4 linked regions of the Drosophila melanogaster genome follow. The protein of the gene in region 1 interacts with the protein of each later gene in a pairwise test. Each region holds a gene or a part of one and is shown in the gene's direction. Other genes may lie near its edges. The genes, in order: CG34208, CG9825, CG13887 and CG1161.

Evidence for each region.
Region 2: the proteins of CG34208 (region 1) and CG9825 interact in a two-hybrid assay, tested with the Drosophila melanogaster proteins (one large-scale study listed by BioGRID).
Region 3: the proteins of CG34208 (region 1) and CG13887 interact in a two-hybrid assay, tested with the Drosophila melanogaster proteins (one large-scale study listed by BioGRID).
Region 4: the proteins of CG34208 (region 1) and CG1161 interact in a two-hybrid assay, tested with the Drosophila melanogaster proteins (one large-scale study listed by BioGRID).

The regions. Positions count from the first base shown.
Region 1 is NT_033778.4:22,329,427-22,336,087, forward strand, and holds CG34208 (uncharacterized protein), read left to right. Parts: upstream 1-3,699; 5' UTR 3,700-3,725; coding exon 3,726-3,878; 3' UTR 3,879-4,079; downstream 4,080-6,661. Other genes in the region: CG34207 (uncharacterized protein), read right to left, coding at 1-294; T3dh (type III alcohol dehydrogenase), read right to left, coding at 836-1,578, 1,636-1,777, 1,832-2,206, 2,422-2,506, 2,569-2,618; pgc (polar granule component), read left to right, coding at 2,771-2,986; Liprin-gamma, read right to left, coding at 5,002-5,454, 5,515-5,538, 6,255-6,366.
Region 2 is NT_033778.4:22,834,367-22,842,373, forward strand, and holds CG9825 (uncharacterized protein), read left to right. Parts: upstream 1-2,994; 5' UTR 2,995-3,069; coding exon 3,070-3,091; intron 3,092-3,355; coding exon 3,356-3,492; intron 3,493-3,549; coding exon 3,550-4,623; intron 4,624-4,690; coding exon 4,691-4,915; 3' UTR 4,916-4,925; downstream 4,926-8,007. Other genes in the region: CG30265 (uncharacterized protein), read left to right, coding at 1-107; CG12490 (uncharacterized protein), read left to right, coding at 334-355, 626-762, 820-1,893, 1,975-2,181; CG9826 (uncharacterized protein), read left to right, coding at 6,469-6,627, 6,690-7,763, 7,845-8,007.
Region 3 is NT_037436.4:834,288-842,391, forward strand, and holds CG13887 (uncharacterized protein), read left to right. Parts: upstream 1-3,573; 5' UTR 3,574-3,833; coding exon 3,834-4,337; intron 4,338-4,815; coding exon of another isoform or gene 4,816-4,866; exon of another isoform or gene 4,867-4,962; coding exon 4,963-5,145; 3' UTR 5,146-5,644; downstream 5,645-8,104. Other genes in the region: CG42553 (uncharacterized protein), read left to right, coding at 1-48, 105-431, 492-1,043, 1,100-1,177; CG42554 (uncharacterized protein), read left to right, coding at 1,560-1,583, 1,649-2,266; CG13901 (uncharacterized protein), read right to left, coding at 2,496-3,164; JMJD5 (jumonji domain containing 5), read right to left, coding at 5,771-6,703, 6,755-7,027; Gr61a (gustatory receptor 61a), read left to right, coding at 7,431-7,575, 7,636-7,827, 7,877-8,071.
Region 4 is NT_033777.3:5,351,122-5,359,059, forward strand, and holds CG1161 (uncharacterized protein), read left to right. Parts: upstream 1-3,970; 5' UTR 3,971-4,063; coding exon 4,064-4,132; intron 4,133-4,205; coding exon 4,206-4,429; intron 4,430-4,712; coding exon 4,713-4,821; intron 4,822-4,881; coding exon 4,882-5,007; coding exon of another isoform or gene 5,008-5,145; exon of another isoform or gene 5,146-5,303; coding exon 5,304-5,459; 3' UTR 5,460-5,627; downstream 5,628-7,938. Other genes in the region: CG11999 (uncharacterized protein), read right to left, coding at 2,723-3,312, 3,440-3,500; Prosbeta7 (proteasome beta7 subunit), read right to left, coding at 6,010-6,162, 6,234-6,735, 6,803-6,954.

The DNA.
Region 1 (6,661 bases):
AATAAAAGACTCAAGTTGACCGACATCCCCTTCCTCCTTTACGTAGGTGCTCAAATTCCGCTGGAAACAGAGTGCCAATTCGTTATCTTCCCGATCCCGTTTCAGTTCCTCTCTGACCTGCCGCCACATCCGTTCAAATCCACTATCGAACGGCATTCCCAGGAAGCGATTATGTCTGGAACGGAGTTCATTGCCGATCTGCTGCCACATTGCCTCGAATTCCCCGTCGTAGGGCATCCCTAGAAATTTACCCTCACATCCGGAGGATTCGAACATGAAGGAGTACTCAAACATGTTTCAGTCTAAAATATATTATAATTACAAAAATTACAAGCTTTTTTTGGAGCAACTAATTTGTAGGATTTAATCCTTTTTTTTTTGTTTTAATGATATGATATCATGTATGATTTGTATGATATTATATTAATATTAATATCTTATATCATAGTATTTTTGGTCCCAGCGTCGGTCTTCTTCCTGCAGCTTAGGAAAGCAAACTGAGTAGAGGATTCTCAAACGAAGTGCAGACCAAAAAAGAGGCCACAAAATAATGCTGAATGTACATAAGATCCATTGCGACAAAGAACATAAAGTAAACAAAAATCAAGCAGGGCATCAAATTTCCTGTGATTCTGTATAGGGTTTTTAATGGTATTTTTCGTATATACACAAGTCCAACCAAAATTAAATGGTTCACTCTAAGCTTTTTATACGCTTAAAAAAAATAGAATTTTGAAAGCTCAAGTATGGTCAGATCTTAAACGAAGATCCGTTAGTTTAACATTTTTTTTTCTTCAAGAGAACAAGTTGAGCGTGGGTAAGTTTTGGCTCCAAATTAATAGACCTCCATGGACTTCTCAAAGAGTTGCGACAGGTTTTCCTGCGTCTGCGCCCTGGGTGCTAGCTTAGTGATCCTTTCCTGGGGCAGGGTTCCCTCCACCAAGGCGGGTATATCGCTGCTGGAGAATCCCAGCTCTCGGAGGCCATTTTCTATGCCCGCGCGTTGCATAAAACCGCGTACAGTGTCCGCCAAAAGACGACCGGCGTCTGCTTTTTCGACACCTCGCACTTCTGCGCCCAGCAACTGGGCAGCCTCCAAATGCCGATCCGGACAAGCTGGAGCAGTGAACTCAAAGACCGCCGGAGCACTGATCACCACGGATAGGCCGTGTGGAATAAGAGCGTGATCCGCGGAGTAGCCCTTTGGCTTGTAATCCCTCACATTTCCAGAAATAGGATAGGAAAGGCCATGACACAGGTGCACTCCGGCATTACCAAATCCCACGCCAGCCATTGTGGAAGCCAGGTGCATCTGGGATCGGGCTTCTAGGTTATCGGGCTGGTAAATGGCGTTCACAAAGTTTTTCCTTATCGTCTCCAATGCGAATCGTGCCCACACATCCGACACTGGGTTCCTGCCCTGGTAGGTGGGTCTCAAGCTGGGATCACTGGGCGCCAAACCGCGTTCCCTGTAATCCACCGCCGTGAAACTCTCCAGGGCATGGCAGAACACATCAAAGCCAGCGAAAGCCATCACGCGTTGCGGCTGGGATAGGGTGTGCAGAGGATCAATCACAGCTAGAGTTAGATAGAACGATATTAGAATAAATTATTTAAAGAAGTTCAGTTTTTTACCCAAAGTAGGTTTGAGGAACTTGCTGGAAATCCCAGTTTTGGCATGCAACTTCTTGTAATCAAATATAGCTACTCCAGTGGTTTCGGAACCTGTTCCCGAAGTGGTGGGCATCGCAATCAGGGGCTTCAGTTTTACGGATATCTAAATGGAATTCAAGTGGTATTAAAGGTACTAAGTCTAAAAAGGAGACCTCACCTCCTTGCCTCTGCCAATTGGGCAGTTTACATAATCCAAAAACTCTGCATTTGCATCACTGCTAAAAAGATTAGCTGCCTTGGCTGTATCCATGGCAGATCCTCCTCCGATGGCCAGAAATGCATCGAACTCCTTGCCGCGCGCAAACTCCACGGCATGCCACATGCTCCCATCCGTGGGCTCCACCCGGGTTTCATCATAGACTTCGTAGTTGATGCCATTACGAGCCAGTGAATCCAAGGCCACTTTCACGGAGGGCAATTGCACGACATTTTTATCCGTGACCAAACAAACCTTCCGAGCTCCCAAGTTGCGAAGATCGGCTCCCACTTCGGCACTTACTCCCGGTCCAAATCGAACAGTCGAGGCTGACATCTGTTTATCAATACATTTGACCAAATTTGAATTAGAATTTGTTATATACCGAACAAAATTTAAGTTAAAAGTATTCACAAGATCTAAAATATAAATTCTATTGGGATGCTTAAGAATATAGAGATAGTATTATCTGGTCCAGGGTATGACCACCTGTCTAAAGATGAGAATCTACTATCTGGAGGTGCTCCAAAGTCCAAGGTTTTGCCACTTACCTCGAAGGCGTATTCCATGCGACCCGTTTGGGAGGCGGTTGGAGCTGCTGAGCCATAGTTATGCGAATGGGCGGGGCACTTGCAGCTATAAGACCATACTTTATTTAAATCACTTGAAATCAGTTATAAAACGCAATTTTTACTTACGAGTTGGCCACGATCGTGTTGATCAAACCTAAGACATTCTTCCGCGACATTCTGTATATAAATGAAATCAGCTGGACTGGTCTTTCGTTTGATAAGAACCCGCCGAATCGATAGCTGGCGCCAAAAGACAGCACTTCATAATCGATAGCTAACAATTTGAAATTCTCTGTCTTGCAGCTTTGAACTACAAGAAGACCCGAAAATGTGCGACTACCAGATGGAGTACTCCTTTATTTTTGAAGACAGCTCCTGCGAGGGCGATGCCTCGATGGCATCCTACGACAATGGATTCGAGTCCATGTGGCATCAAGTGCGCGAGGAGTTGCAAAGGGAGCGGGAGATGAATGAGCTCTGCCAGGTTTTCCAGCAAAACTTGAGCCTGAGTCCGCCGGTCATCGCGGATAGATGGAGATTCTGACTGGACCTCCCAAAAGCCAACTTATTGTGATATTTGTAAATTATAGTTTTAGCAGTTCGTTTGCCACATGAGTGGAACATCGTGAATGCACTTTTGATAAGTGCTCGGTTATTTTATATTGTAACTACCAGCCTTCAGAGGCGATCGTATGCATAGTTTCTTGAAGTCAATTTGTCCGTGTATTCAAATGTTTGCTTTCGTGAAAACTCGCATTGTTTTGTCACTCTACCAAGTAATCAATTTGTACCAATCAATCGCATATGGTTGTCCTAGATCTAAAAATGGCAATAATTTGCCTTCGGTATTGCACCTAATGTATTCAAGAACAAGTAGGGAAGCTCGAAATTTCTCAAATACTTACCCAAAAAATAGATAGAAATATATTTTCGATTCGCAATCGTTCAAAAACCCATTCGTTTTTAATTACGGGTCCCACAGTAAGATGTGACTGCGATTCAATTGTAATGGGAACAATTGTTCCCATTACAATGGAGCTAATTACCTAAATGTATGTCCGCCCATTTTTCGCGCTGGATTTACAACTCAATTTGCCGCGCTATCTGGCCGATCTGCGAACATAAACTACTGGCAATGGTAAACGATGTTGACGGCAGTTTCCCTCATTAGCATGCAGATCGTCGCCGATCTTCTGGGCGCCAGGCCATAAAACGTTTGATTCCAGGCGTATCGTTCAGCAGTTTGTGTTGAACTGGTAATAACTCGACATCGCGATCGCGAGATGAAGTGGCTTAGTTTGTTCCTGGTATTCGGCATCCTCGGACTCATCGGCAGTCTGGGCACTTTAGCCCTAGCGGAACCCAATCCGGAGCCCAAGGGTCGTCCGCACACAACGCGACGTCCTCGAAACGATAACGACAACGATCGACGCTAGCAATCCGAGCGGCTGGAGGAGATGGAAAAACCCACGAAATCTCCCCGAAGATGCACCGAACCACAAAGGACACAGGAGGCACAGCGACTCACGGTGAAGGTGAAATGTTTTGGAGTCGAGAAAATGCAATATGTTGAGGTGCTGCTCATCTAGCGAGTGGCATCTTCCCGTGCACAATAAAGACTCATTCGTTTACAACAGAGTTTTGATCATGGGTTTATTCGATAGTTTTCTTCGACATAGGTCTACAGTTAAATTGGTCAGCTTAATGATACCCTGACGCTCTCGGGGATTCTTCGATACTGATTGATTGGCGGATAAAGCAGGCTGACTGACTTTCTTTGGTTGTGCGAGGGTTTTTTTTGGGGAGTGCGTTTGTATTTACCATATATTTGATTCTGTTTCGGATTTTACCATTACCATGCGATATTGAACGTTGCTTAGGGCTTATCATAATTTACAAAGTGCCGCATCTTGCGGCTTATCAAATTTAATTCAATAGTTTCCGTTTCCATTTGCTTAGCTACGATAGTTTCGGTTACAAAATAATTTCAATTTATCTAAATTGCAATCGCATCTCCAGTGCCCAAATCGGCTTGTAATTCAGTGAGTATATTACCGTCACGCAATCTGCCTCTCACTTTTAAATCGGTTTAGAGCTATCTTTACAGTTACAATTACAATTAGAATTACATATATGTGATTGATTAGACTAATGCAGTTTGTTGGAGTTGGGGTGGAGTTTTTGATTCGATTTGAATTGATTCGAGTTGATTCGATCCTTACTTCTCTTGCCTGCGATTGGGGCTTAGTCTACACAATATAATTATGTCGTTATTTATGTTTAGCATATAGTTCGAATTTCTATCTGATTTGATCAAATGATTACTCGCTTATCTTGTATTACTTGACGCATATGTATCTGTAGCTGCTGAATGCTTGTATCTTGTAGGTGGGTCTGACACTGACTTGAATATAATTGAGTTTGCTTGTAGATTCTAAGCTCAAATGCAGCTGAAAGGGTAAATGGGTTATGGGGGGGTGAAAGGGATTTTCATGCGGGAGTACAGCTGAGTATCTTTGGTAGTGGTAGTTGTAATCCTATCTAGCTAGCTTTTCACTCTTATTCAGGGGACTCCGATGAGGCCGATATGCCGCCCAGACTGCAGGCCCCCACGCTGCCCGCACTCGTCGAAGCCCCAATATCGCTGATGCTCTTCACGCGCCGTCGACTCTGCTCGTAGAGCATTTGTGGGTCGGTGGACACCGCATCCAGTGCCCCACCAACTGGCGGAGCGCTCACACGATGACCAGGCGGCGGACCATGACTATAGATGCCCCCAGCCGAGGGAATCGGCGGTGGGGCCGTCGTAGGCGGCGGCAGGAAGTGATGGTAGTGCTGCTGCTGGAGATTGGTGTGCGGATTCGGATACTGGTGCCCTATGGTTGCGTATATTCCTCCGCCACCCTCGCTGCTGCTGTACGAAGGCGTTGGGGAGGTGGAGTTCCCAAAGGAGCTGCGGTCCCCGGTGCGATGTGGTTTGCTGTTAAACCGAAAGGCTTTAGACAGGGAGCTCTGCAAACGGAAATACAAATATTGAAATGTGCTCCTTGAGTGAATGAAATGCCAACTCACCTGAGATCCTTTCCATGCCGAAATCTGTTTAGTAAAATAAATGAAAAGAAATAAATGTTAATAGTTTTAATTTGCACAAGAACACTTGTTTCAAATCCTAAACTTTTGCCGACAACGGGAACACTTCGGAACTGTCATGAAACTTTTCCTGTTCTTAGGTGCCTTAGGAACTATAAATATTTTCCAAATCAGTAATTATATCCATGCTAAGGTTATCTAATACATGTCATATTTGCTATGTTAAAGGCATATTCATTATTTAATTGTGATGAGTAGATATTTGAGTTTCAATATTTAACATATCCTTACGAACTTATTCGTTTTAAGCTGACCAAAAGCTAACAACGATGTATTTTGGATAGCCAATGAATTTTCGCTTAAATATTGTAACATCCTTGAATGTCCTTTATCTCAACTCAGAATTTATCACATACTTGTTGGCACCTTGGAGTGTAAATTATAGTCAATACAGCCTGCAAAGGCAACCTATCATAAATTGAATTTTCAATTTGGATGAAAGCCTGTGAAAACATGCTCCCAGTGATATGAGAACACTTGCTGAAGCCACCTCTCAGGGATTTAAATAATTTATGACACAAACACCGAGCGACAACAAAAGCTTCACGTCAATTCAGGCTAGGGATATACAGCAATAGTTGTTTGTCGACTGGCACAGACGATTATTGTATTCAAGACATAATTGGCTATAACTAGCTATGTTATTAGTATTAAGTACTTACCCTGAGGTTGCCGCTCGAGCGGCGATCTGTTGTGGCATAGTGCTGCAGTCCGCCGGGTCCCGTTAGAGGCACTACGCCGCAACCGGAACGGATGCCCTGACCCAGAGTCGCTCTACACAACAAACATGGCAATTTCGATTTGCGAATTTTTGCATAGGTCATATGCGTGTGTGTGTGTGTGGGTGGGTGGTGAGTGGGTGTTGTGGGTTCACGGGGGCATATATCATGTTGTGAATGGGTTTGGATGTGCATGTATTTTTGATTTTCATGGGCAGGCAGGCAGGCAGCACATTGAAGACAGGACACAGACGGCAGATAACGGGAGTGTGGAGTTTTCGAGATTTCAAATTCGAATACATGGAGTGCGGGTGGTCAGGCAGAGCGGCAGAGATAGCAATACAGAGCCA
Region 2 (8,007 bases), 500 kb from region 1:
ACCTCACAGAAAAGGTACCAGACCTAGCTATAGCTCCAGCTATCCATGAAGCTGGTAAAGGCATTGATGGACCTTCTCAGAAGTCGATGATATTAAAGTTCCACTAGATCGATAGCACTTAAGTCTCCAGTGTACATAGAAACTATTTAAAACAATCAAATAAAAAAAAAATCACCTGACGTGGTATTAGATAAGGCAAATTCGGCTTATCAGCTAATTCAACTTGAATTTAAATTCATATTAAGTTCGCGGGCTCACTCACTCACCTTCCCACAGTTATTCCGATCGGTCGTTTTAAAGAAGTGAAGAAGTGTTTTGTTGACCAATTCAAAAATGACGGCCGAGACAAACAAAGGTGTGTAAAAGGAAATCCTTCGATTCGGATAAGAGTTTGTGAATGAAATGACACCCCACGAACTTGACACAGTTGAAAACCCCTCCATGGATCAGACCTTGCACTCCATCTGAAAATTTCGGGCTTTCCGCACGCGCACTCAACTCATCATAAATTACTTCAATAATGGCGCGATAACCGAGTCTCAAGAGCAATTCAGATTTATTTTCCCACCTGTACTATGTAGGCAGAAAGTAGCAGCTTTAATACCAGTTCGTTTTGTTATTGCAGGACCCGTTCTGGGAATGAGGCATGTCCAGGCGCTACTGATCTTCCTCAATATAACTACCGTATTCATAGGCCGCCTAAATGTGGGCGTGTCTGTGGTGGCAATGACCAATGCGGAAACCACGAACCCGAACTTTCCGGTAAGAATAGGGATCCTATAAAGAAAATACTACTTAGCTCACTAGATTCTCTACTAGGAATACGATTGGACGGAGGCAGAGAAGTCGTATATATTCTCCAGTTTCTTTTGGGGCTACATCTTGACCCAATTTATAGGTGGCTATCTCTGCAAGCGCTTTGGAGTCAAGAGTGTAATGTTTTGGGGTGTCTTTGTATCTGGTGTCTGCAGTGCATTGACCCCGCTCTTCATCGGTTTTGGCGGATGGCAGGCCTACTGCGGAATTCGCGTGGTTATGGGCTTGGCACAGGGACTAGTTTTTCCCTGTATTCATCACCATTTGGCCAAATGGTCACCTCCGGCGGAACGAAATCGGTTGGGAGCTCTTAGTCACACTGGGATGGAGTGCGGCAATGTAAGTGCCATGTTCTTGAGCGGAATGATAGCCAAAAGTGCCATTGGTTGGCCAGGAATATCATATGTCTCCGCAGGATTAGCCTTCGCCTGGTGTGCCATTTGGTTCGTTTTTGCCGCTGACAATGCAGTGGAATCTCGTTACATAACCCAGGAAGAACTCCACTATATCGAATCGTCTCTGAAGCACAATGAGGACTATCACAAGACCGTAATTCCCGTACCATGGATGGCGATTTGGACCTCGGCACCATTTCTTGCTCTTACGCTGACGCGTTGTTGCGCGACCTGGGGTCTGAGCACCCTCCAGGCCCAAATCCCAACTTATATGAACGGAGTTCTGGATATGGACATGAAAAGCAATGCATTCTTTTCGGCATTACCATTTCTGGCCATGTGGATTATGTCGTATGTGTACCTGATAATCGCCGATGTTCTGCTCGCCGGAAACAGGCTGAGTTTAACGGCCCTCCGGAAGACCTTCAACTCGTTGGCCTTCTGGATTCCTTGTGCCACTTTGATTGGAATCGGATTCCTGGATCAGGAGCAGAAGAACCTGGCAATTGCTTTGATGACCATCAGTGTCGGTGTCAACAGTGGAGCAACAATCGGAAGCTCCTTGAACACCATAGATCTATCCCCGAATCATGCGAGTATTCTAATGGGAATCTTGAATACGGCTGTTACTGTAGTGCCTATAGTAACCCCTTTGATTGTTGGAGTTATTGTTCATGAAGACGTAAGTTTGCACTGTTAGTGTTTATAAACAGGGCAGTGATAAATAAGTATAAATAAGAAGACTTTCTGTTGATTGTTTCAGGATAACCGTGCTGAGTGGCAGATAGTGTTCATAATTGCGGCAGTACTTTTTTTTGTCGGAAACTCGGTGTACCTATACTTTGGAACGGCTGTTTCACAACCCTGGGATGCTGAAGACTACCTCACAGTAAAGGTGCCAGAGCTAGCTAAAGTTCCAGCTATCCATGAAGCTGGTAAAGGTATTGATGACCTTCCACGAAGTCCTTGAATTGAAGTTCTATCGATAGCACTTAAGTCTTCAGTTAACATAGAAACTATTTAAAACAACAAAGCAATCAAAATAATTTAGAGTATTATTATTAAATTTAATAAGATTTAAGATCTACATCAGTACATTTCATTTGTTTATTAAACGTATAAGTAAAACGATTTGTTTGAATTAAAATGTTTGAGCGTTATTTGCTTATCAAAAGTCGTCAAATTTACCAAAGGTGCGGCCATAAATCAATCCAATAATGGTATGGCAGTAACTACTCTTGATATTACCAATTGATTTTGGAACGCCACACGACCAGGCAATGCTGTTCTAAACAACCTCGTTTAACAGTAGAAAAGGAACTGCAGGTAGGATATTTTCGTCAAGATATCTAAAATTAACTATTAAAGGTGCAAAACCTTGGCTTCTTTCTTGACTAAGTAACCTGAAGGCCGAAATGCCCACCTATTCGAAAAAGGGTTCTCGATATGGCCATGAAAAAGCAATGCATTCTTTTTGGCGCTAACATTTTAGGCCATGTTGCTTATGTGGCATCTATCTTTTACCGAATCGTGCCAGAATCCTTACTAGAATTGTAGAAATGGATGAAAATAATGATTTATTGATTGATTTACAATATTCTGACTAATGACATAATAACTAGTTTGTAAAGTACAACAATTTTTTAATGACGCTTTTTAATTCAATGGTTAAATTCGCCCGCTGTATGACCTTATCACCTGACGTGTCGTATCAGATAAGCAACATTTGGCTTATCGTCTAATTCAATTTGGATTTAAATCCACTCTATGTTCGTGGTCTCACTCACTTAACTTCCCACAGTGATTCCGATCGGTCGTTTAAAAGAAGTCAGGAGGTGTTTTGTTGACCAAATCAAAAATGACGGCCGAGACAAACAAAGGTGCGTGAAAGGAAATCCTTCGGTTCGGATAAGAGTTTGTGAATGAATTGACACCCAACGAACTTGACACAGTGGAAAACCCCTTCATGGCTCAGACCTTGCACTCCGTCTGATTTCTGGGCTTTTCGCACACGCATTGAGTGGTCATAAATTACTACAATAATGGCGCGATAACCGAGTCTCAAGAGCAATTCAGACTTATTTACCCAACTGTTTGTAGACAGGAAGTAACAGTGATAATACCAGTTCGTTTTGTTATTGCAGGACCCGTTCTGGGAATGAGGCATGTCCAGGCGCTACTGATCTTCCTCAATATAACTACCGTATTCATAGGCCGCCTAAATGTGGGCGTGTCTGTGGTGGCAATGACCAATGCGGAAACCACGAACCCGAACTTTCCGGTAAGAATAGGGATCCTATCAAGAAAATACCACTTAGCTTACTAGATTCTCTACTAGGAATACGATTGGACGGAGGCAGAGAAGTCGTACATTCTCTCCAGTTTCTTTTGGGGCTACATCCTAACGCAATTCCTTGGAGGTTATCTCTGCAAGCGCTTTGGAGTCAAGAGTGTAATGTTTTGGGGTGTCTTCGGATCTGGTGTCTGCAGTGCTTTGACGCCGCTGTTCATCGGATTTGGAGAATGGCAGGCCTACTGTGGAATTCGAGTTCTAATGGGATTGGCCCAGGGAGTGGTATTCCCCTGCATTCATCAGCACCTGGCTAAATGGTCACCGCCCGAGGAAAGAAATCGGTTGGGAGCTCTGAGTCACACTGGAATCGAGTGCGGCAATGTGAGTGCCATGTTCCTGAGCGGAATGATAGCCAAGAGCTCCCTGGGATGGCCCGGAATCTCATATGTCTCGGCTGGAGTGGCCTTCTTCTGGTGTACATTATGGTTCGTCTTCGCTGCCAACCATCCTACGGAATCTCGTTTCATAGGAGAGAACGAACTGATCTATATTGAGTCGTCTCTAAAGCACAATGAGTCATACCACGCTACCATTATACCCATTCCCTGGAAGGCAATTTGGACGTCGGCACCATTCCTGGCCCTGCTCATAGTACGATGCGCTGAGAACTGGGGACTGAGCACTCTGCAGGCCGAGATCCCATCCTATATGAACGGAGTCCTCGACATGGACATGAAGAGCAATGCGTTCTTCTCGGCACTCCCATTCTTGGCCATGTGGTGCATGTCGTATATTTACCTAGTCGTAGCCGATGTGCTCTTGGGCAAGAACTCGGTGTCCTTGACGATTTTGAGAAAGACCTACAACTCCATTGCCTTCTGGATTCCTGCTGCCACTTTGGTGGGCATTGGCTTTTTGGACAAGGAACAAAAGAACTTCGCGATTGCTCTGATGACCATCAGTGTGGGCGTGAATAGTGCTCAAACCATTGGCAGTGTTTTAAACACAATTGATCTATCGAAAAATCACGCTAGCATTCTAATGGGAATTGTGAATACAGCGGCGAATTTCGTGCCCATAGTCACTCCTTTAGTTGTTGGATGGATTGTTAAGGAAAATGTGAGTGCTTGCAAAAGTTGGTAGGAAGTAAAGATTTTTAATTGCTTATTGTATCCTTTCCTTTCAGTCTGATCGCTCCCAATGGCAGATCGTGTTCATCATTGCCTCCGTAATCTTCTTTGTGGGCAATTGCATTTACTTGGTGTTTGGCACGGCCGAAACTCAGCCCTGGGATGCCGAGGACTATCTGCAGACACAGAACCCGGAACTTGCCAATAGACCACCTATGCAGGCGTTATCCTTTCCAATTAACGAAAATTCCAAAGAGAAAATTAATAGTAAAAGCCATTAATTCTTAACCCATTTAACGCATTTATTTTTTAGACTAGTCTGGATAACCAAATTTACATTTTAGCATTTGGTTTTTATTTGTTCACTTTAGTGGTCTAAAAATCATAACTTGGTAGAGAGATAGCAAACGATTCTTTTATCTATAACTGACACTCAAATTGAGTTATTCTTGATATTTTGAAAATGCCATTGAGGGCGACATCACTAAATATTTTTAATTACAAGTCCGCAGTCTCAAGAGCTAGTCAGCTATTATTGTTTTGATTGCTCGAAAATATAGACATATTCTTGTGTTTAAAATTCCCTTAGTTACCGTCGCTAGTAGACTGAATTATAGAGCATTTAGTTCTGCAGTTCATTTTTAAGATGCCGTTTGCGAAGACCTAAAAATATTATCTTACGTACAACGATCTCGTCATTGCACTTCTCGCCATATGATTTGTGATAAAAAAAATTGGCAATGCCCACAGTATCACTAAATGGTACACACCTTTATGGTTTCTTTGGAACAAAAATTTAAGGCGCGACCTATAACTTTAGTAAGTGACTCATCGTTCGAAATGAAGGAAAACCCAGTTTCCAATTTCTTCCACCAAGATTTGTGAGAACCTTTCAAAGCTCTGTTATCCCTGAGCAGATAACTAAAGCTCTGCTGGTAATCTCAAATGGAGCCTACTTAGCTTTGGCTCATAACACACTCAAGCAAGGGGAATCACTCGAGATTGTAATGGCCAGGCGAGGAATTGGCTGAGATTAGAGTTTTCTTTAAATTCATAAAGTTCAATAAATTGACATTATAAACATTATAAATACTTTGGCCGTGTGGCTCGGTACAGTATCGATTAGTTGATTATTTATTTAACTGGTAGCATCGCTTATCAGTTGCGTTCCATTGTTTCGACCAGATTGCGGCCATAAAGAATACTATGCCAAAAAATAAATAAACTCATTCATTTATGGCGGCTCTTTCGGTTGCTGGTGCTGAGCACAGTTGTATTAAGCTTTCAGGGGATCGGATTTAATTTTTCTACGGCTTCAGGCCTGGCGAGCAAAAACTTTTGTTGATAATCGTGCCATAAATCTTTCGGGCAAATAAACACGTCTCTGGCCAAAGTTGAGTGTTGGGTGGGTGTGCTTATTTTCTAGCCACCACTTTGTGTAAATCCATCAATATTTGCCGATAATACGTAGAAACATATGCATATGCTTTCTCAATCCACCAGCGGATCGTACTACAATAGATCCGCTACGTCAGTCAGTCGGCTTCTGGAACGAGGAGTTGCGTCAAAGTGTCTCCGATCGCCGATCTTGTTTGTCGCTGAACCATCTCCCTGGGGACTCACCTGCGAGTCCGCGGGCCAATCAACTATGTGGGTGAATGATATCGCCGAGCGTGTTGGCCCAAGCTTTCAAAGCTTTCCGCTGTCGTATAAATGTCGGCAATACAATGGCGGCTGGGCTTAGAACCATTGCCCCAATCTAACAGTGCAGACCTCGGTAACTAAACCAAAAAGTGTTCCAAGTGGAGTTGCTTCCTGGACTTACTTGCCGATCATGACCCATAAACCTTGCAAGGGCCCTCGTCTGGGCGTGCGACATCTGCAGTCGTTCCTGCTCTTTCTCGGCCTGACCGTGATGCACATTGCCCGGCTGAATGTCAGTGTGGCCATTGTGGCCATGACTAACGCGGCCACCACGAATCCCAATTTTCCGGTGAGTTTTAAGTGATATTCCTTGCGGTTGGAAATAGCTGACGTGGCCGCTTTCCCTCGCAGGAGTTCGAATGGACGGAGAAACAAAAGTCGTACATACTCTCCAGTTTCTACTGGGGCTACATCCTGACCCTGTTTCCTGGCAGCTTCCTGTGTCGTCGCTACGGCGCCAAGGTGGTCCTCTTTGTGGCCAGTTGTGGCACTGCTGTGCTCAGTCTGATGACCCCGTGGTGCATCACCTGGGGTGGATGGCAGGTGTTTTGCGCCATCCGCATTCTGCAGGGCTTGTTCCAGGGCGTGATCTTTCCCTGCGTCACAGAGCATCTGGCTATGTGGTCGCCCCCAGAGGAGCGGAACCGCCTGGGCGCCTTCAGCTACACAGGCACGGATTGCGGCACTGTGTTGGCCATGTTCATAAGTGGCATGATTGCCAAGGGAGCAATGGGCTGGCCGGGCATATCCTATGTGTCTGGATCCCTCTGCGCCGCCTGGTGTTTCCTCTGGCTAATATTCGCCTCCAACAATGCCACTGAGTCCCGATTTGTTGGCGAGGCCGAGTGCAAGTACATCGAATCTTCGCTGGAGCACAATGAGGACTTCCACGGTCGTACCATACCAATTCCGTGGAGGGCGATCTGGACTTCTGTGCCCTTCCTGGCGCTGCTGGTGACCCGGTGCGCAGAAACCTACGGACTGAGCACCCTGCAGGCGGAAATTCCCTCCTACATGAACGGAGTCCTCAACATGGAGATTCAGAGCAACGCCGTCTTCTCATCGCTGCCCTTCTTGGCCATGTGGCTGCTGTCCTATGTCTATCTGATTGCCGCCGATGTTCTGCTCAAGAAGAAGATCCTGTCGCTAACCGCAGTGCGTAAGCTGTTCAACACGCTCTCGTTTTGGATTCCGGCTGCCGCCCTGATCGGCATTGGATTCCTCAGCGAGGAGAACAAGAATCTGGCTATCGTGCTGATGACCGTCTCGGTGGGTGTAAACAGTGGAGCCACCATTGGTAGTTCCCTGAACTCCATCGATCTGTCACCCAATCACGCTGGTATATTGATTGGCTTGAGCAATACGGTGGCGAACGTTATTCCCATCCTCACACCACTGATTGCGGGTGAGATCGTGGCTGATAAGGTGAGTCAAGCGTCAGGCGTCGAAAAGAGTTATGGAAAATCCCAATTCGAAAACAATAATAAATATTTCCCAATTTCGCAGCACAATCGCGGCCAATGGCAGATCGTCTTTGGACTGGCAGCTGTCATATTCTTCGTGGGCAACGTGGTATTCATCATCTGGGGAACGGCTAAGGCGCAGCCCTGGGATGCGGATGACTTCCTGAAGCCTAAGGACACGGAGTCCGCCTGCGAGAAGCCCAAGA
Region 3 (8,104 bases), on another chromosome or scaffold:
AGCAAAGTACAGCGAAAAATTCAGCAAGAGCTCAAATTTCTAAATAAGGTTTGTTTGCCTATTTTTCATGATAAAAACATTGAGTAAAAGCATTTTCCTTCAAGGTGATTACTACAAGGTCCGTAAAGGAACACCACATAACCAGCAGTAACTTTGTTTACTACGATTTTCTCATTAAAACTCTGCGTTTGCAACAAGGAGTAGTCGACATCAATGCCGTATTCCGCCTGGAGTCTAGGGATAGTCCCCTGAGAGTCGACATCGTGGCCAACAATGGACTCAAGTGGGTGAAGGTGATAGCCAGGAACTCGAAGTCCGTCGAGGACGCGGCCAGGGGATGTGTCAGCATCGGAGCCCGAAGTGTCATCGACCAGGCGGAGGATTATCTGGAGGCCAGCGAACTTAGTTTCTGCATGTTCCAGAGGCCGAAGGTAATGCCTAATAGTATGCTACCCTAGACAGCATTCATCATCTGATATACTGCCTTTTAGATAGTATTCTACTTCTCCAACAAAATCGAGGACTCCCTGCATGAAGAGCTAATGGAAATGGGCGTACAAACTGCTTCCCTGGACTCACCAGACACCGACTTGGATATGTACGCCACGACGTCGAACGAACTGAATCTAGATGTGACCACATTGCTGGCCTACGTTAGTGCGCTCACCAACGGATCCGCCAATTGGGTCTACAAGGAACCTCTGCTCACCGAACAGGCGGAAAGGGAAAGAGCCTCGCCGCTAAAACCGCTCCTCGAGAAAATCCTAGAGGGAAAAACCTTGGTCTGCTGCCAGTTAGCCTACGATGCCTTCCAGAGTATTTTGGATATTGTAGGCGGCGAGGGCGAACGGAAGCGAGCCGAGGAACTGATGAAACGGGTCACCGTTTATCCGGATGTGGAAACAATACCCGAAGAATTCTCCCACATACGTTTCACTGCCAACGTAAACGAGCGAAGTCTGAAAATCTTTAGTTTCGGCATGGCCAGGCAAATTTTCACTGTGACTTCGAATAAGGCCTTTGTGAGATCAGCTAAGATGCAGGTATGCATGAATGGAAAATGTGATTTTGTCCTGTCTTTAATGTCTGTGCTTTACAGGGTATCAATGTGCCTGTTTTTGTACACGCTTCAGTTGCACTTACCGAAGGTAAGCAGGCAACAGGAAGACCGCTTTAAAAACCAATAAGCGTTAAGGCTATTCAAATAAATTTTATGTGATTTTTTTTCAAAAACTGCTCTACACAAAGTTGTTATAATTATTAAATAAAGATCCTTCAAATTTGAATTCGATTGGTTTTTAAAAATTCGAAACGATACATACGACTCTTATCGATTGTTGTCATGACAGAGCTGCCACACCTCGCGCATAAAACATATGTAAACAAAAGTGAAATTTTGGAAACTGCGTTCTTGCAAAAAAATAGACGACATTTTGCTTGCATAAAACAGGCAATATTGCAATTGGGAATATAATTATTAAAATTTAGGTGCCTGGCAATTTCAACGTTACAAGAGCAATCATATAATTTCAAATCAGGACGGGAAAACAGTCAAAAACATGGACTGCGCACCACTGAACTTGGTAAGAACCCGAAGAAAACATCGAATTTACATGGTTTTAAATGGAATTACCTACCCAAATCAAAGGCTCATTTCCACGAGCGAAGGTCGGAGCGATTTATACGCAATCACCGCTATGAGGAGGCCATTAAAGCGCTGGAAACATCCCTAATCTACATGCAGGATGCCCAAAAACGGGTGGCTCTGCCCAAATCCAAGGAAGTTCTGGACACATTGACCCTCGATTTTCAGCGCAAACTGCGTCAAATTGAGATGCGAAAGACGCAGCATGGTCTGAACAAGCTGAAGGATTATGCTCCCTTGAAGGAAACCAGTCCCATGCTGCCCCTGCGACCAGAAGCCGGAGCAAGTGGAGGCGCAGGAGGATCCGCTCAGTCGGTGGCCAAGGCAATCGACAAAACAGTGCAGGACTTCGATGCCAAGTTCACCTCCTCCTTGGTGGCAAAGGCCTCTAGCACACTGGCCCATTCGGAGCCCCATATGGAGACGCTGAAGAAGAGCGATTCTGCCCAGGAGGAGCAGGAACACGATACTTGCGATCAGCGGCTGGCGGGCAGTGGAGACCTGGACCTGCCATCCTTGGCGCCCTTGGAGTTGCCCTCCTTCGATTACAGCCTGTTCACCAGCTCCTCGGCTCCTTCGTTGGCCAGCTATGCCGGCATGGCTGAGAGCTTCCAGAAATAGGCCTGGTTAAGATCCATTTGTAAAACTTCAACTAATTTGAAAGATCTCGTGGTAATGCAGTGCCCGCTGAGTGGTGATTAGGATTTAATTTTAGGCACGTTCTTCATTTCAACGTTTTGTGCAGTTCCCTTTGTGAAGTGTATTTGGGAATTCTCTAAATAAATTAAATTAGGTTAATTCACAATAATAATAATAATAATAATACTTTGTGTATTACAATCTAAGTCGTTTATTTGGCCATCAGACCCTTCAGCAGATCATCCATGTCGGTTTCGGTGTCGACATTCTTGAGCAGAAGCAGCACCTGTGCCTCCATCTCGCAGAGGATATCTGGTTTCTGGTAGGTAATGATCAGCGTGTTGAACTGGTGGTGGACAGAGAGGCTCTCCTGCGCGGGCTTGACCCCACAGCGGTCCAGTTCCGGGACCGGGATGACCTTGTAGTACTTCTTGTTCGAGGTGCGCACGACTATGGCACGCTTCTCGGGATCGGCGGTTACGCTGTATGTGTCCAGGGAGTAGGGCATGTTGCGGATGCGCCACTCAATGTTCTTCTTGGTGATCCGCTTGGTCAGCAGTGGCGCGGTGTTGCTCTCCCGCAGGGTGAAATCTCCGCCGGCCAGGGAGTCCGTTTCCTCGCCAGATCCTGGTGGCTTGTTGCCCGACCAGTTTAACTGACGCGGCTCATCGCCCAGCTCGATTTCCCACTCCGACTCGCCCATGATCTTGTTGCTCTTCGATTTCCAGGCCCGCCGCTGCACGATTCCCGTGTCCATGTTGTACTCCTCGGCCATTTGCCTGCCGTCCGGGAATTTGTAGAGCACCTTGCGGGCGCGGCCACTTATCATGGAGTTCTTCTCCGCCGCCTGCAGGTAGTTTAGCCAGTTCTGGTAGGACATCTCTGGGGATTGATGGGATTACCTAGGCACACGTCTCCGCCGGAGATTCGAATATAACAACTGAACGGGGCAGAAAATTTGATCGATGGCGCAAAGTTGAAAATTTGTTGAGAAGCACATTGCGATGGAAACCTGGCAACCCAGCTGCCAGCTTGTTTACATCGCAAGCCGGGTTACCAAGGCACTTTAAAGCATTACATACAATACCTTATGATCGATTTGTCTTGTAATATTTGGAGGTAATGGTTAATTTTAATGCAAAATACGTACTAATTCTTGCCATTTTTTTTACTTACTAATAAAATGATTTTGAAATTCGAATATTTTCCATGAATTCAGCTTTTTTCTGGCTACCCAATTTACAGTTGATTCCAGCGCGCGAGTTGGCAGCCCCGTGCGTACACAAAAAAACAGAGTTGACGTGGCCGGCGCAGTGACTACATAAAATATACGCATATTTCATCACGGCAGCGATTTAATTATTGCTATTTAAAGTAAGCAGCCAGTCACTCCGGCCGTAGTTTATAAATAGCCACTAGACCGTCCGTCCCGAATCCGTAGACTTAGCAGCTAATTTGGACGCATTTCTGCTTACAGGCGGCAGTCGAAAAAAGCGAAAATCCAAGAAGCGAAAATCGAACGAAAAAGGGAATTAATAAAACATTAAAAATGAGTTTGGTGTGGACTTTGATCGCCGGATTTCTCTATGCGGAAATCGCACTGGTCCTTCTGCTGGTGCTGCCGGTGCTCACTCCTTACCGCTGGAACCGGTTCTTCAAGTCCAAATTCCTATCGATGTTGGGACAACAGGCGCACATATATTTCCTGCTGATCATGGGAATTCTGGTCATTTTCCTCCTGGAGGCCATTCGCGAGATGCGCAAGTACTCCGGCTTGCAGCAGTCTAACGAGGTCCACTTGAACGTGGAGATGCAGCACAGCATGAAGCTGTTCCGTGCCCAGCGGAACTTCTACATCTCTGGATTCGCCATTTTCCTTGCCCTGGTCATCCGGCGACTGGTAAACTTGATCTGCACCCAGGCCAATCTCATGGCCCAGAGCGAGGCTTCCTTCAAGCAGGCACAGAGCGCCACTGCAGCCGCACGTTCCTTGCTGGAGAACAAGAACACCGAGAAGGCCAAGGAAGCCGGCGAGGATACCACTCTCATCGAGGTGAGTCCACGTCCCAAACCCCTGCATCCGATCCCCAGGAATGGCATGTCTAGAGAGCTAACACCTAAGACTTTGGAGTTCAATTGGCTACTACCAGCTGTAAAGATATGGCAATGCATATAGAAGGTGTGGTCAAAATATGGCGAGATAATGTCTTTAGCCGACTAAATCTATAAAATCTATACTTCATTCCACTTTCTGGTACATTTTCTCAATTGGTTTTGAATATAAGATACGAAAAGGCTTTAAATGTAGTCTATTAACGATATAGAACTTTAAATACCAGTATATATCATGATTAAAATCTTAAACGTAAACTTAAATCAGTTTGAAGACCGAGTGAATTTGTCATAGGCTTAGTGCTTTTGTTTTGACCGCAGCTAAACGTTTTGAAACCACACCCAAACACATATGTTGGGCCACGATAAACAGAAGCCACCACTCGAAAGTTTAAACCTCTTGTTAACTCTTTAAACAGCTGTCAAGACTGCGGAGACGTGTGCAAGGACTCACCGCCCGAGTGTCCTAAGTATCCCCACCTAGAGCACCCACCTTATATCCATTCCCAAACACCCAAAACGAACAAAAATCCAATCGAAACTCAAACGAAATCCGAATTTTGCAGCTCAACAAGCTGCGCGAGCGCGTCCAGGAGCTAACCTCCGACTTGAATCGCGAAAAGAAGGACAAGGAGGCGGTTAAGTCGCAGGCGGAGAGCATCAACCGCGAGTACGACCGACTCACCGAGGAGTACAGCAAGCTGCAGAAGAAGATAACCATCGGCGGAGGCGGAAACAAGGATGATTAAACTCACTGGAGCCAAGTCCAACATTTAAATAACGATAAGACTTATAAGCATGGCGGTGGGGCAGCGAAAGCAGGCACATTTAAAAGATTATAACGATTTCAAATCGATAGAAAGCACACACATCTTATTGTTAATCCTCATAGATACAACTACATATACCATTTGATAATGATAATGGGGTATATTGATAATGGTCCCTCAACTCAATGTTCGTTTCGTCCGAAGTTTTGTATTTAATTCGTATGTGTTAAGTTTTGTTTGCCACAGTAACACACCCAAAAAGCGTCGTGGCTATTAAAAGAACAACCAAAAAGTACCCATCCAGTTGTGATCGATTCGATGATTCATCTGTTGGCGCGGATAGTCCACATCATGTCTGATAGTACACGGCAATGACGTCAGACGTCGCAACCTGTTTGCATACTTGGAGCTTAGAAATCGGAGGCGTTACATTATCGGTGTGCGAAAAGGGCATCGAATATGTTTCCTTGATAATTACCCAGAAATGCTAATCAAATTCGCATATTTAGTGATCTATCGTGGTTTTGCAGTGCATACTTTAATCTTAACTTGAACAGAGATCATCCTACATAAATTTGCTGTTCAATAAACTGCATTAAAATGCTTACTCCCACCAGAAGCTTACAGAGAAGCTAGGAGCTTCAGATCTCACATAGTGCCACCATTTGGGTGGCATGTACAAACAGTCACCAGGTTGCAGGAGCAGCTGGTAGAACTTCACCTTGGCTACCAAGGGATATGTTTCAGGATCCAGTTGAGCAGCATCTATTCGCGCTGTATTGGCCAAAAACTCACTGTCGTGGGGATACAGATTGTCTGTGTCTGCAGGAGCAGCTAGGATGATCCTCTTCGAACCGAATACCTGGCACAGCAAGTTGTGCTTGGGATCGTAGTGCATGGGAGATACGGTTCCAGCTGGTCCCAGCCAGGCTTTGATGTCCACAGCTCCTGGGGTATCTTCGTTGCTGATGGTGCAGTAGTCGGGAATGGATATATCCTCTTTGAGGGCTGGTATCTGGGCGAAGAGCTCGTGCTGAGCGAGATACTCGATATTTTGGCCAGCCTTGCTTGGTTCCTTTCCGAATTGTCTGCTCAGGAAGTCGCGGATCTTCACCAGCTGCTGGGACCATTCATCGCTGGCATAGTTGGAACCTATTTCAATGGGCACCGTGCGATTCCCGGCCACTTGGAGAAGGTAATTGAGATCCAGCCATTTGTGCAGTGCAGGCCAATGCTGGATGGTGTTGAGCAGGAGTGTGGGTTGTCCTGCCTCAAAGCACTTTGTCTGGAACTCTTCTAGACTGGGAGCGTCCAGTTGGGGTATATCACAGTTGGAGGTTACTCGGGTTAATGGCTCTAGAGTTGGAAGTGGTGCGGAATTCAGTGCTACTGCTCCATCCTTGTCGAGATAATCCATTAGGGCGACTTTCAGTTCACTCCAATCCTCCATGCAACCCAAAAGTTGAGCCTCATCGAGGATCTCACTGCACGCATCCTTCTGGGCGGGACTAGTGCTCTCCAAGAGAAGGAAAAAAATCTAAAATGTATATTTGTAGTTTGTATGGCTTAGTTAGCATCTAAATCCCACCTTGAAGCAACAGGCTATGGCGTATATCTTCCTCGTGACCAAGGGAACCTGGCTGAAGTGCCCTGTGTGAATGCGTTCCCAGTTCCTGTCCACCAGCGCACCTACCAGATATCCGGTTTCCTCCGCCCCGGAATCTCCGCCAGACCTCAAGTTCGCCAGGTGATCCGCGGCTCTTTTGAGTATGTAGCGCGCCTCGACTTCACCACGGACCACATTTTCCAGATCCACCCAGCGGGGCAGCAGCTGCGTCAGCTCCAGGAACTCACTATCCATAGAATGTTAAACAACTATTATTTGTTTACCTTTTAGCTTACATTCAGCGTTGCCAGAGTTCATTTGTAAGCATTAAATATTTCGATTAATCGATGTTTTAAAATATATTTAAAAATTGATGAGTTGTTCAGTACTTCAAACATGTATTGCTTAAGGATGCCTTTAGTAAATTATAAATAGTAGCTCCGTGGGTCCTTCCATGGTGAAGATACATTTTGCACTGGCACGAAATGGAAAAACGATTTCCATGGGCGGAGTTATGACCGCCGTTTTGGACGCCGAATGGCATTGTGTGCCCCAAGTGCCACTAATTACGGGTTTTAGACTAAGCTGCAGCTTGTAAACAACAATCATGAGACAAGAACCCGGATAGTGGAATTGCTGACGGTCAGAGCTGAGGAGCATGTCGAGGACTTCGGATGACATCCGGAAGCACCTGAAAGTGCGGCGCCAGAAGCAGAGGGCCATTTTGGCCATGAGATGGCGCTGTGCCCAGGGAGGATTGGAGTTCGAGCAGCTGGACACCTTCTACGGAGCCATCAGGCCATGTAAGACCACTTTTCCAAACCACTTTCATATGTGTCTAAACATATTACAATGGACAATAGATCTGTGTGTGGCGCAGTTCTTCGGCATTATGCCTTTGTCGAATATCCGGAGTCGCGATCCCCAGGATGTGAAGTTCAAGGTAAGGAGCATTGGCCTGGCAGTCACCGGTCTCTTCCTTTTGCTCGGTGGCATGAAGACCTTGGTCGGTGCCAATATTCTCTTCACAGAGGGTCTGAATGCCAAGAATATCGGTGAGTTTTAGATGGTATGGTAGTGTGATCCCAACTGAAAGCTCAATAGTGGGTTTGGTTTTCCTTATCGTGGGCATGGTCAACTGGCTAAACTTCGTGGGCTTTGCTCGCTCCTGGTCGCACATAATGCTGCCCTGGAGTTCGGTGGACATTCTGATGCTCTTTCCGCCCTACAAACGTGGCAAGCGAAGCCTTCGGTCAAAGGTCAACGTCCTTGCTCTGAGTGTGGTCGTCCTGGCAGTAGGTGAGATTTCTGGGTTATCCTTTCAATGGTTTC
Region 4 (7,938 bases), on another chromosome or scaffold:
ATCAACTAATATCCTATAGTTGCAATCAGAGCAAATTGTTGTATGCTTGCTGAAGACGATCTATGAGTTTAAACATTTAAGAACTAATAAAAGGGGATAACAATTGATATTGTTTTGATTCATATTTTCTATAATATACTTATATTACTATATGTATTTATAATTTTGTAGAAAAGAAAAAAGTTTTGTATCAATTAACATAGAACGTTTGTACGTTTGTTTATACTATTATCATATATTAGTCAGTGACTAAGTGTCTTGAAAGCTTCTAGTTAAACCTACTCTATTTTCGAAAATTAAAACATGTGGATAGCTTTCTAATCGTACTCCAAGTAACTTTGAGATATTTCGCCACGACGTAGGTCAGGGTGCGCCGGTTAGTATGCAGGGCGTTTTGCTTACGCTTTCCAGCCACTCGTGCGTATACACAACGTACTTTTCGTTTGGAATTGTGCGGCAGAGGGGCAGGCGTCACACTCGCAAACAAACAAACATCGCAACATTCAAACATTTTGTGTCAATCTGTCAGTCACTCAAGCAACGAGTCCTTTCCCACTTTTAAGCGCTTTAAACTTTGCCCGCTGTCGATTAAGACAAATCGATAAGGGAAAACGTTTCCCTTTTATATGTATAATATATATTATCGTAGGATTGCTAAAACACTTGGGCATTTATGCGTGCAGAGAAAGAGATTTGAGTTTTATTTTCAGTATTAAATGCCGAATAGTTTCGCAATTGGATTAGGAAATACTTGATTAGTTGGCTTATGAGCTTATTTCGCTATATCTATCCCGATCTATACAGTTTTCTACACTAAGTCTAATGAAAATTTTTAATAGTGTAGCTTCGCTCCAAAATATTCTCTTTATTATTGGTCACATAGGAAGCACAATACAAGGATACGATGAATACAAGGATGGGCCACCGCTTAACAATGGAATCCGGTTGTCGGGGAGGGAAAGTCCTGCGAGCAGGAACACATCCTTATACATATGTATGTATGGGTGTGCGTATGAGTGAGTTTGGCGTTAACACGTTAAGGGTAAATCAATAAACGCGCAGAACGGAAGTTATCAACACCTGTAAGGGATAATTGACGTGATATTAAATGGTATGTTGCCACAGCAGGTGGCAGCATTGCCGATTTCATTAAACACATAAGCCCACTATATTGCATTAAATTATGCGATAATTGATCAATTTTAAAGGATTATATATAATGTTAAGACGTTCATTTCTGTAGCAATATAAGCAAAATGAAGAAGACTTTTATACTAAGCCGTGGAAAAACATTTGGTTCACTATACAAAGTTTAACATGCTCAGATGGTAATCGACAACTAAAGTGTTTTATACTCTCCGATACTATGTTCTGGTAATATGACATCGTGGACAGCTATGTGCTATCCATATTCCATATACTATTTATGACAATTTATTGAAAGTCTATAATAATTGCTGTACAGAATTTCCAATCAGGAATAGTTGACACAAGATTCAAAGCTTGATACTTCCAGTATTTGCATCGTAAAGCATGAAATTACGGAGTTGAGGGTTATCTTCAGATGGTGGATCTTGCTAAGATTTCCTGCTGGGGACAACATCGCTCATCAGACTAGTAGAACGAGTATCCTTGTTTCCATTTCTTATTTGTGCAAAATGGTTACAAGGACAACCCGATTATGAGAATCTATAAACGACTGTGCGCTGGGTTAGATCAGCTAACACTTTGACCTTACTGGGTCCACAATCAGTTGGGATTACGGGGATGCGAAGGAGGCGGAGGCAGCGGAGGATGAGGACATGGCCCGGAGGATGAGCAGACAAAGCGTTGACAATGGCCCAAACAAAAGAAACACAAAACAGACGAGCAGATAATGGACGTGACGATATCGGGGCAGCAAGGGAGCGGAAACCGCGAGCAATGGCAAAATGTATATACATAGCTTGTATGGTCGGAATAAGCCCCATTGTTTTATGCATGCAAACAAAAACATCCGAAGGAATGGGGAGCACCTTTCGCGAAATGCGAGTGACGCCCTACGGCTGCATCTGCAAGGATACTTCCCGCTTTAGCTTCAAGCTAAAGGGCTGTCAATCCGGCATGGGATACCTTCTGTTGGAGTTCAAAGATATCGACATTTTCCGCCAAATGCAATCAGTCTTAATCATCAATGAGTAGTAGAAAAGTGACACGAACACGCTATTAGCACCTGGTAACCTACGCATGTCTTTCAGCACTACATGGAATAGATACATCTGTATTAACTGCAGTAATGCCAACAGAAAGAGTACTATTGCCTCAAAATACCCGTTTAAAATATAAAAGGTTACATAAAAATAAAAAAGCATTTGTGTGCCTGCAACTGACTAAGTAGACAATCAATCAAAGTTCTAGAAAAATTTAGAAAAGTTAGATTGCAACTGAGGTTTCACTACCTTAAAAAGGGCTCTATAGACGCCCCCATTTGTTGCAATGCATTTAAGCTAAGTGGTTCTTACGACTGCCTTTATGCAAGGCACTTTCTAGATAGAATACATAATACATACATAGAATACATAACTTTCGATGAAAGCAATCTGAAAGTTTCGAAGTACCCTGAGTTTAAATAATTTTAATTTGATGGTTTGCTTTTGGGGTCTTCAATAAAAATTCAACTAAGTTATAAATTACAGAACTAATAGTAGTATGAAACTGCAGCAGTCGAGGTCCTTAGGGAGCACTACAGCTCCGAGTGGGCGTACTCGTCGTGCGTTGAGCTCTTCTCCTTGGGCACGATAAAGAGGCCCTCCGCCGTGGTCCAGCGCGTTCCGTGCTGCGGCTTGTGGACGCCAACGATTTCCATTTGGCCGGAGATGGGTCTGCCATAGGAGCGGCCGGACATGCCCAGGTACATGCCGGTGTCGATGTGGCGCAGCCTAACGTGGGCACTGCGCATCCAGTTCTCGTTGGAGCAGACCACCTCCCAGTGGTCGCCGGTGTCGCCGAGTCCATCCGTTCCGTACGCGGACACCTCCTGCTCGCCTGAGAGCGGCGACGAAAAGTGGTGCGAGTGCAGGTTCTTCTTGGTGGACAGGTGCTCCAGTCGCACGGTGGATCCGCAGGCGATGGGCTCGCCCCTTTCACAAAGCTCGCCGGTCTGCGCCTTGATCACCCAGTGGCTGTTCACGTCCTCCTTCTGCTCCACGCCCGTCACCGACTGCTGCCCGGAACCAGATCCGTACTTGACGTCGTGGGAGTGCAGGCGGAAGGCGTAGTCCGAGTTGAGCAGCTTCAGGATGGAGCCGCAGGTGACCACGTTGGATTCGGTGGCTGTGTTCAGCAGGGTCAAGATAGAATATAAGATAAGCATTAACTATGGCCACGGAAGGTTCAGAAAGAGGGGCGGCCAATCAGAGAAGACCACATAGACGCGACTTTGTTTCAGGTCGCCACTTACCGGCTCCCCTGGAAATGCTGCCTACCAGCGCCAGTCCTGTAAGAAGTAGTATGTGCTGCATCGTGTCCTGTTCTAGTTATCGTATCCTAGTCCGTGGACCTAAGTCAGTCAATCTGTACCGGCAATTACGGTTGAAATCAGCGTTGCACACGCAAACAATTGCTATTTTTGACGGTGCTGGTGTGACCAGGCTGCGGTAAAATCCAAATTATGGACTCACCGAAAAAAATAAACATAATACTATAACAAACTCCATATTGCTGTAACTTATTCCATTAACGGAAAATAGCTTAATGTATATAATAAATGTTGAATAAAGGAAAAATATAATTAGTCTTTTCAGAGAGCAGATTACGAATTTGACGTCACAGATTTATTGATACGCCTAGAAACTTATTTCTTGATTGTTTTAGAATTAAATGAACGTTATATCGTGAAGGAAATAATTAGTTATTAATAATTAGCCTAAAAACTAATTGCACCAAAAGGAACTAGTTCGATGAGCGACAATTTGTTGGTATTTTCTGTGCACCAGACAAGTACGGTCACTCTGCGAAATTGCAAGGGAATTTTCTCCAATAAAAGGCAAGAAAACTGAGGAAAATTGAAATTAAAGAAAAATTAATGGCACACAAGCGCCTGTTCGTCTACGCGGTGCTACTGGTGATATGTTATTTGGTTGGCGTGACATGGGTATGATGACTGGCCACATCCCGTGACTGCCCCACTAATCCGCTTTCATTTCCCCCTCAAACAATCAACAAAGGCTGAGACTGCGGCGCAGACATTCCCAGCGATCGGCACCAACAGCAACAACAACAGCAATGCTCAACCTGCTCCTGTGCCTGCACCTGCAGCTCCAGCGGCTGCAGCTCCACTAGCCAAGCAAGTTTCAGCTCCCACTGCCGCCCCTCCGGCCAAGGTCATCGGCCAGCCTGTGCTCGCTGCTCCAGGCAAAAATTCTTCCAATTCCAGCAGCACAACTGAGTGGTAAGTGGCACTGCACTGGCAGAAATTGCCGCATCTGGAAACTTAAAGTCTAGTCCATTTGAGCAGTTTTAAAGCTGCAATCCCTTTCGTCCCACTGGATTCTACTACTTTAAATTCAATTTACGTTGTTTGCGTAGGCTTCAAAGAATCATAGTTCATGTATTGCACAAATGTATTCACTTTTCAGCTACTAAATGTATAAGGCATCTTGGTATCAATGAGCTTAATTTGTGATTCTGTTAGGTTGGAGTTCTTAACAACCTGCTACACGTTACCATTTCAGCGTCTGTGCCGGTGCCCTGCTGCCCCGTTTGGATGCCAATGGCAAGGAGCTGCCCATATGCGCCGAGTGCAAGTGCTCCCATGTGGCGAGAAATACGACGCTGATAAAGGTGAGTCAATTCGAGTGCTCAAAAGCCGTCCGTACTTAACCAGCTCTCTCCCCCATCCAGGTCGTGGTCATTATTGTGATTTGGATCATCTCCATTTTAGTAATATACATGCTCTTCCTGATGTGCCTGGACCCGTTGCTGAACAAGCGAGTGAAGGCGAACTACCAGGAGCACACCAACGAAGATGTACATAACAAGCTTTCTAGATACAAGGGCATTCAGTATAGCCTCCTAGTTACAGCCCAAGGCGAAGATGATGAAGATGACGATGTTGATGCCGAAGCGGCTCAACTAGTTGGCAATAAAGAAGCACCACTCTTTTGAATAGATTTTAATTTCCACAACCACCTTTGTTTCATTTTGCGTTATAGATTTTGTTGACTTTCTAACCCACACCGTCACTTCATTAAGACAGTAACTAACACGGCCAGATCTTGGATCACCTCGACTAATTCCACATTTTTCCACCCTTTTCTAACCAGGATGAACCAACGCCGCCCCTGCCAGCCGTCAACAACCAGGAGCTCAGTGCCAGAGCCAATGTCCTCAATCGTGTGGGCCACCAGCAGGACAAGTGGAAGCGGCAGGTGCGCGAGCAGAGACGCCACATCTACGACAGGCATACCATGCTAAACTAACAAGGGGTTCGGTTTGCAGCTGGCGGAGATTAGGAGGCGCATGGGCGACTTAAGACACGTATTCCAAGCAGTTATCCTTTGCGAAATTCCCCTTTGGATCAAATTGATTATCTGTATATTTAGCCAGATTTTATGTTAATTAAAATAAACCAAAATATGTTTGTCAGGAGTGTTTGCATATTAATTAATAAGTTGAATGCCGGGAGGAATAACCAACAAATCCACTAAAATAAAACTTTTAATGATAATTGATGGTTATAATTTGGGAAAATAAGGAACGTAAGACCGTAATGGTGAGTCCAAGTTAGATTTGGAAACTCCCTTGGGCTTCTTAGTTTGACGCCTACTTTTTGATTCCATCAGTAGAGATTAACGAAAGAATAACTCGAAGATAGTTTCTATCACACAATAACCATAACTTTAAACGTATTATTTTCAGCCACATTTATTTTTAATAAATCATGTAACCACATATCCTTAGACAAGTGTTTTTTTTTAATGCAAAACCGCCGAGCTAGACCTAAACTAAGTTCATTCAGAATCGGAGGCTCTAGTATCCCTTTATGGTTTCGGCGAATGTCCAGTTTTCGTTAACTTGGAAGGGCCCCTCCACGCCGCATCCGTTGACGCTGCACACGCCCACAGTGTATTGGGAAATATTACGAGTATCGCGGTAGTAAAGCACCTCCATGCATGTGCGGATCTAGAATATAAGAAAATGGTAGGGTAGTTAAATAATGAAGAGTCCCCCCATCAGAGTTCGAAATTCCTTACCAGTTCGGAAGCTTCTACGGCGGTAAAGTCCCTGTCCTTGGGCTTCTTCTCACGGACCAGCGGAACGGCCAAATGGCGGGCAAAACCAGTGGCCACCACGTAGTCCTCGTAGGATCGTCCACGGAGATCCACGTTGGCCAGGTACGGAGTCCCCTCGTTGTCCACGCCGCCGACAACCACGTCAATGTAGAGGGGGTTCATCCGCGAACGACGGTTGTAGAGCACACGGGTCATCCAACTGGCCAAGGACTTGGGCTTCATCTCGATGTTGTCGTCGCAGCACTGGTCCTCGATCATCTTCTGGTCGATGTTGCGCTTGATGGACTGGATGTCAGCGAAGTCGCCGCTCCCGCCGAGCAGGATGTTCTTGTTGACCTTAAAGACGCGCTCAATGTTTTGGTAGCGGGCCATGGATCCGTAAGACACCAGGGTGTCGGCGGCCAGCATCACTCCTGAATCATAGCGAATGCCAAGCACGGAAGTGCCCGTGGTGCTGGAAGCACTGCGGAATAGTAAAAGGAGTGTAAACAAGTGGTACATCTGCATATAAACATATCCGCAGTTCCTACGTGCTGTGCTTGGTTCCATAGGGTCCCATTGTGGTCAGCTCCCGCGGTAGCTGCTGGACCGGCGTCTGTCCGCCCGTGAAGTTGTAGAACTCGCCGGGAGCGGGTCCGTTCTGCCACATGGGCTGCGCTAGGCTGTTGTAGTTGTTCAACATGCTAATTTATTCGGAGACTGGAATAACGCGAGACTTTGAAATGTTTGTCGCTGCCGGAGAATGACGGGCACAAATAAAATCAAGAGTCAGCGCAGTGTGAACAGACTTTAGGCGGGCGGCAATACCAGTATCGGCAACCGGTAGCTAAAAATACCAGACATACCAAAGATGAATCCACTATTAGCTTGGTCACACCGTTTTACATGTGTTAAATTAAATTAATTTGAAGTTTAATTGTGAACTTTTTAACATTTTATTAGATGTTGATGTTAAAAGTAATGTAAAACAGTTAACACCACGCTGCCTATACTGAATTTGTTTTTTTACTTTTGTCTTTATAATCCTCGTTGATAATACAAATCAAGGAGAAGAAAGATAAGAAATTAAAGAACTTTTCACTCAATTAGGATTAAGACTCATGTATACCCGTTGCTTCTACGGTATTTACTACTCCTTGAAACTAAATATATGTTTAGTTAATATATAATGACCATTTGCTTTACTTCATTTTAAGCCGTTCAATGGTCATTAAAGTATAAGAATCGAGAGCAATAAATGTAAATGACGTTTGGAAATTATCCTGGTCAATCTACAAATCCAATATCTCCCTTCTCTCCCTTCGAACACGATTCTCCATAGCTTTTTAAGCGGAATAAGGTTCTTTTGCTAAAACTTCTGCTTTTATTCATATTGGTGGGAAAAACGCACATGTTCCGGATTGTTGTTTTTGGGAACCCAACGAAGTTTTTTATCATAACATTTGATCATATAAATTAATAATAAAGAATTATAAATTTGAAGACATATAAATACATTTTTATTGCCAGTATACCAGTACACAATTTGTAAATATATAGGTATGTGCATAATGCTTCCGAGGGGAATGTTTAGGTTGCTGCCGCATCTTTCAGATGCCATAATACAGTCGATAATATCAGTTGCTTTATTGAGCTATGCTAAAAACAATGACGGGGAGACCCGCTC